2 linked regions of the Macaca mulatta genome follow. Each later gene encodes a partner of the first gene's protein in a complex. Links are inferred from orthologs where the notes say so. Each region holds a gene or a part of one and is shown in the gene's direction. Other genes may lie near its edges.

Region 1 (3,513 bases):
GGGAGAAAACACCAAAGGGCAGAGGTGTCAGGGAGCTGGTGGGCTCACGGGAGCTGGTTCTGCTCCTTGGCTGAGCTGCCCTGAGCAGCCTCCCCTGCCCTCTCCATTGGAAGGGATGCGGCTCTTTCTGCCTGAGGGTCCTGCCTGGGGCCAGACCTGGGCTACCCAGTGGCTGTACCAGAGGGACAGGCATCCTGTGTGGAGGGAGCATGAGTTCATGTGGCCCCAGATGCAGCCTTGCACCCCATCCTGGGTGGCGGCCACTGGACAGGCAGGCTGGGGGTTGATCATGGGACCAGGTTCCCTGGTGCTGATGGTGGGACAGTCACCCTGGGGGTTGACCACTGGACTGTGCGTTCCTAGGGTTGACTGTAGGACCAGGTGTCCAGGTGCCCTGCAAGTAGAGGGCTCTCAGAGGCGTCTGGCTGGCGTGGGAGGACGTGGCCCCGGGCATGGCCTTCAGTGTGTGCTGCCGTGGGTGTCCCGAGCCCTCACTGAGTCGATGGGGGCTTGTGGCTTCCCGTGAGCTTCCCCCTAGTCTGGCGCCTGGCTGAGCGTGTCCTGAGGGGCTCTCTGTTGCAGACAGCACTTGAAGAGGGTGCAGCTGCGGGAGCTGTCGGAAGCAGAGGCCAGGCAGCATCGGGAAGCCAGGCCCACCCTGCTGGCGTCCAGACTCCGCTTCCTCCCCAAGCCTGACGGGCTCCGGCCGATCGTGAACATGGACTACGTCGTGGGAGCCAGAACGTTCCGCAGAGAAAAGAGGGTGACTGTGCTTTGGTTTAGTGTCCTTTTTAAACAGAAGTGTGTTTGAGCCCCACATTTGGTATCAGCTTAGATGCAGGGCCCGGAGGAGGGGCCACGGGACCCAGCCCGGCCCACGGCACGGCTTACACCCATTTGTGGGCGTGGTGAGGTGGCCGAGGTGCTGGTGCCTCCAGAAAAGCAGTGTGGGGGTGTTGGGGGAGGTCCTGGGGCAGGGACAGGCTCTGAGGACCACAAGCAGCGGCTGGGCTGGGGCCTGGACGCAGCAGAGCGCGAGGTCCCAGGTTCGTGTCCTGCCGTGGTGCTCGGGCACCGGGTGCTTCCGTATGTGGGCCCAGGGACCAGGCCATGGCTGCCAGGACCCCACCGGGCTCTGAGGACCCTGGGCCCTCACCCCACGGCTCCTGCACCCCACCCCTGTGGCTGCTGTGGCTGTAGTGACCCCGTCATTTGAGGGGAGTGTGGGGTGAGGTGGACAGAGGTATGGCATGAGCATCCCATGTGCAACACACATGCAGCCGGGACCACGTTTCAAACAGGGTCTGGGGAAGCTGGGAGGGGTTCAAGGACCTAGGTCTGGGCGGCTGGGGACACTGGGGTGGGGCTGCTTCTCCCCTGGGTCCCTCTGGTGGGGCGGGGCACCTGGCCAGGTCCACTGTCCTGACCGTCTCCCGTGCCGTCCCCGCCAGGCCGAGCGTCTCGCCTCGAGGGTGAAGGCACTGTTCAGTGTGCTCAACTACGAGCGGGCACGGCGCCCCGGCCTCCTGGGTGCCTCTGTGCTGGGCCTGGATGATATCCACAGGGCCTGGCGCAACTTTGTGCTGCGTGTGCGGGCCCAGGACCCGCCGCCCAAGCTATACTTCGTCAAGGTGGGCGCTGGGACCCCGTCAGCAGCCCTGCTGGACCTTGGGGGTGGCTGCCTGATTGACACCTCATGCTGGGTGGGCCACAGGGAGTGCAGGTGACCCGGTCACTGTTGGGGACACACCCGGCACCTGGCAGGGAGGCCTTCAGCCTTTCCTGCAGCACATGGGCCCCGACTCTGCACCCCAACTGCCCCGGGCTCCTCCTCCCAGGGAGGGTCCCACTGGATTCCAGTTCCCGTCAGAGAAGGAACCGCACCAGCTCAGCCACCAGGCCCCGGTGCCTCGCACCCCAGTCCTGAGCCAGGGCCCTCCTGTCCTGAGGCTCAGAGAGGGCATACAGCCCGCCCTGCCCTTGGGGTCTGGAGAGGTGGGGCTCAGAGAGAGATGGGGGGACGCGGCTGCGGCCAGGCCCTGAGGGCAGAGGTGACGTCTGAGTTGCTGGGTGGCCGTTGTTAGCCTTCTTGCCTTCACTCACGCAGGTGGATGTGATGGGCGCATACGACACCATCCCCCAGGACAGGCTCACGGAGGTCATCGCCAGCATCATCAAGCCCCAGAACACATATTGCGTGCGCCGGTATGCTGTGGTCCGGAAGGCCGCCCATGGGCACGTCCGCAAGACCTTCAAGAGCCACGTAAGGCTCACGTGTGATACAGTTGTGTCCAGGATGTGTGTCCCTGGGATCTGGATGTGTCTAGTTTGCAGTCATGTCTGTGATGTGTTTCTGTGATGGAGGTACTTCCATGATTTACACGTCAGTGATATGTGTGTGTATCTGTGATATGCGCATGTGGCACGTGTGTGGCACGTGTGTGGCACGGGTGTGTCCGTGGTGCATGTGTCTGTGATGAGCATATTTGTGATGTATGTGTGTGTATCTGTGGCACGTGTGTGTGCGTGGTGTGTCTCTGGTGTGTGTGCCTGTGGTATGCATGAGCGTGTGTCTGTGCTGCGTGTCTGTGACGTGCATATTTGTGGTGTGTGTGTGCGCATGTGTCCGTGGCACATGCATGTCCACACTGTGTCTGTGGCGTGGGTGTGTGTGGCCCCTTGGCCTTCCTCCTTCCTCTTCCAGGCATGGTCCGTACCATTGTCCTCACGCTCTTGGGTGCTGGTTTGGTGAACTCCACATTCAGGGTCCTCCCTTCCAGCACAGGTGCCCCTGTCCTGTCACAGGGCTGGGCCTTGGAGACTCCAAGCCGGGTTTGAGAGGAGAGTAGGGACACTGGGTGGTACCTTCCTGGACCCCCGGCACCCCCAGGACCCCAGCCTGGCCCGTGCCGGCTCTATGAGAGACAGGAAGGCTGATTCAGGCCTCGCTCCCCGGGACACACTCCTCCCAGAGTGGCCGGAGGCCTTGGGGCTCAGCAGGGGTGAAAGGGGCCCTGGACTTGGGTTCCCACCCAATGGTCATGAGCACGCTGGAGTGGTAAGCCCCCAGAGTAGTGCCAGGCCAGGGTGCAGAGGTGAAGTGTCCCTGGAGCTTCAGTTTGGGGAAAGGCGCATGTGGAGACCTGCAAGGACCTCTTTCTCTGACTTCTTGAGGCTACTGCAGCTATTTGCAAATCTCATGTATGACTCAGCAGAATTTTACACTCGTGGAAACCTGATGGCTACCACCTGCGTCCAGGTGTAGAAAGTCGCCAGAGCCCAGGAGACGCCCCTCCCCACCACCCACCCATGCCCAGGTACAGAAAGTCACCAGAGCCCAGGAGAACCCCCTCCCCACCACCCACCCATGCCCAGGTACAGAAAGTCACCAGAGCCCAGGAGACCCTCCTCCCCGCCACCCACCCGTGCCCAGGTGTAGAAAGTCACCAGAGCCCAGGAGACCCCCTTCCTCACCACCCACCTGTGCCCAGGTGTAGAAAGTCACCAGAGCCC
Region 2 (3,286 bases), on another chromosome or scaffold:
CTTGCTCTGTCACCCAAGCTGGAGACCAGTGGCGTGATCTCAGCTCACTGCAACCTCCGCCTCCCGGGTTCAAGCGATTCTCCTGCCTCAGCCTCCCGAGTAGCTGGGACTACAGGTGACCGCCAGCACGTCCCGCTAATTTTTGTATTTTTATTAGTAAAGACGGGGTTTCACCATATTGGCCAGGCTGGTCTTGAACTCCTGACCTTGTGATCCACCTGTCTCGGCCTCTCAAAGTGCTGGGATTACAGGCCTGAGCTACTGCACCCGGTCACAAACCATATTCTTTTTTTCAGACGGAGTGCCACTCTGTCACCCAGGCTGGTGTGCAGTGGCGCTATCTCAGCTCGCTGCAACCTCTGCCTCCCCGGCTCAAATGACTCTCCTGCCTCAGCCTCTGAAGTGGCTGGGACTACAGGCGCCCACCACCACACTCAGCTAATTTTTTCTGTATTTTTAGTAGAGACGGGGTTTCGCCAGATTGGCCAGGCTGGTCTCGAACTCTTGACCTTGTGATCCGCCCGCCTCAGCCTCCAAAAGTGTTGAGATTACAGGCGTGAGCCAACGCGCCCGGCCAAACCATATTCTAAAAAAAAAAAAACCTTGCAGGTTTTTCTGGTTACACAACATATATGCCAACGCTTTTGTCATTATAAATAAGGCGTAATGATGATCTTTGTAATTATATTTTGGTTCTCATTTTCATTTCTTTAAACGAATAAGGAGAACTTCTATATTCTTTAAAAAATTGTAAAATCTCCTAGAAGGTGCACTTTATTACGCTATTATTAGCTACTCACCACTATAAGAAAGAGCGCTGAATTTGCGGTAGGGACCTAAGTTTAAATCTTGGTTCGACCGCTGAAACATACTTCGTTTCATAAAATAACTTTACGCTATTTTCGCTTTACGGAATATTGATACTCAACATGCATTCTTTACCGCCAACGCTTTGAAATGGAGCAGGGAAACTGGATGTAAAAGAGGGGAGGGAAGAAAACCTCTTCCTTCTTCCCTAGGGCAAAGGGGCTCTGAATCCTGGAGCCCTTGTTTCTTCAGGCACTGGAAACTCACTGCTCCTGAAAGGGGTGTGTATCTTGAGATAAAGACAAGCTTCTATACGTCAATGTTCTATCCACATCCATCCCTACCCCCCTCTAGCGCCGTGTACCTAGCACACAGTAGGCACACTCCACGTGTTTTAGCCTGCAAAGTTGCAAGTGTGGCCCCCCAAGCCAAGCCCTGCCCTCGTGCGCCCCCTTCTGGCTAGCTGAAAATAAGGCAAAAATTGACTACATTTTCCGGCGTGCCAGGAGAGAGACTTCCGGCTATGCAGGAAGGAAATTGACGAACACGTGACGCGGTCGGGCGGACCCCTGCAGACGGAGCAGCGGAGCGAATTGGGACCTCTGGCTTACGAGCAGTCATGTTTCTCCAGTATTACCTCAACGAGGAGGGAGATCGGGTCTATACGCTGAAGGTGAGGAGAGAAAATAGGTTGTAAATAGGCATGGCGAGAAATGTAGATGGGAGGAATGGGTGAGGCCATACACGGAGTTACCTAGCTGGGTGGAGGGAACCAGAAAGTGCAGAACCGAGGTGGGGGAGAACCGGGAGCGCGCGACGAATTTTTTATTTTAAAAAAACAAAATTGGCCGGGCGCAGTGGCTCACGCCTGTAATCCTAGCACTTTGGGAGGCCGAGGCGTGTGGATTACCTTAGCTCAGGAGTTAGAGACTATTCTGGGCAACACGGTGAAACTACGTTTCTACTAAAATACAAAAATTAGCCGGGCGTGGCGGCGTGCGCCTGTTTTCCCAGCTACCTGGGAGGCTGAGACAGGAGAATCGCTTAAACCCGGGAGGCGGAGCTTGCAGTAAACCCGGATAGCGCCATTGCACTCACTTTTCTTTTTTTTCTTTTTTTTTCTTTTTTTTTTTAAGACAGGGACTCGCTTTGTTGCCTAGGCTGTAGTGCCTCGGCTCACTGCAACCTCCGCCTCCTGGGCACAAACAATCTTCCTGCCTCAGCCTCCCGAGTAGCTGGGACTACAGGCGTGCGCCACCACACCTGGCTAATTTTTGGTTTAGGGTTTTTTTGTTTGGTTGGTTGGTTTTGTTTGTTTGTTGTAGAGACGAGGTTTCGCCATATTGCCCAGGCTGGTCTCAAACTTCTGACCTCAAGCCATCCTCCTGCCTCGGCCTCCCAAAGTGCTGGGATTACAGGCGTGAGCCACCGCGCCCAGCCTTTTTAAGTTTTGTATTTCTCTATTTATTTGTACAACTTTTTGAGCTGATCATTGCATCTTCTGTTTTCATGTTTGCCCTTTTTCGCGCTGTCCCCACCCCATCACTCCTGTACTGACATACATTCTCTATTCCCGGAGCAGAAATTTGACCCGATGGGACAACAGACCTGCTCAGCCCATCCTGCTCGGTTCTCCCCAGATGACAAATACTCTCGACACCGAATCACCATCAAGAAACGCTTCAAGGTGCTCATGACCCAGCAACCGCGCCCTGTCCTCTGAAGGCCCCTTAAACTGATGTCTATTCTGCGGCCTGTTACCCCTCGGAGACTCCGTAACCAAACTCCTCAGTCTGTGAGCCCTGATGCCTTTTTGCCAGCCATACTCTGTGGCATCCAGTCTCATCCTGGTGATTGAGCATGCTTGTGTGAGGCAGTCATGGTGGCATCACCCATAAAGGGAACACGTTTGACTTTTTTTTTCGTATTTTAAGTTACTACCAGATTATTAAAGATAAAATGATTTGAAAAGCTCTTATTTTGTGTTGTTGGAGGAAAGGATTGGTAGTATTGTTTTAAAGGGAGGGAGATGATGGACGAGAGCACTCCAGAGAGTTGCAACAACACCACTTGGAAGAAAAACTTCAGTCCTGTAGCAAGAGTGGTCATGTGCTGTTAGTGGTAGGAGGGTATTGGGGAAGAAAGATTAAGACTTTCACAGCTGTCAGCATTCACTGAAAAATACCCCTGTTGTCACGTAATTTCTCATCCCTTGAAATAACATTTTGATTAAAAATGGAAGAGTACTTGAAAAAGTAATAGGTATATTATAGAGAGAAGGCAGTGAATTGAAAGAAGACCAATATTTCCTTTTTGTATAACTTTGAGAAAGTTACTTAACCTGTTTAGTCTGATTTTTCTCCTTATTAACTTATCTTTGAACTCATTGATTTAGTGGTGGGCTTTTTTTTTTTTTTTTAAGACAGTCTCACTCTGTTGTCCAGGCTGGAATGCAGTGGTGGCTGACTACAACCTCCGT

The links.
Region 2: TERT (region 1) and NOP10 share a complex: the UniProt entries of both Homo sapiens proteins name them as parts of the telomerase holoenzyme complex. The link is inferred for Macaca mulatta from reciprocal best matches to the Homo sapiens genes TERT and NOP10.

The regions. Positions count from the first base shown.
Region 1 is NC_133411.1:2,402,505-2,406,017, reverse strand, and holds part of TERT (telomerase reverse transcriptase), read left to right. Parts: intron 1-582; coding exon 583-763; intron 764-1,451; coding exon 1,452-1,631; intron 1,632-2,107; coding exon 2,108-2,263; intron 2,264-3,513. UniProt on the Homo sapiens protein: Telomerase is a ribonucleoprotein enzyme essential for the replication of chromosome termini in most eukaryotes. Active in progenitor and cancer cells. Inactive, or very low activity, in normal somatic cells.
Region 2 is NC_133412.1:11,535,681-11,538,966, reverse strand, and holds NOP10 (H/ACA ribonucleoprotein complex subunit 3), read left to right. Parts: upstream 1-1,370; 5' UTR 1,371-1,426; coding exon 1,427-1,480; intron 1,481-2,389; coding exon 2,390-2,530; 3' UTR 2,531-2,778; downstream 2,779-3,286. Other genes in the region: NUTM1 (NUT family member 1), read right to left, coding at 801-882. UniProt on the Homo sapiens protein: Required for ribosome biogenesis and telomere maintenance. Part of the H/ACA small nucleolar ribonucleoprotein (H/ACA snoRNP) complex, which catalyzes pseudouridylation of rRNA.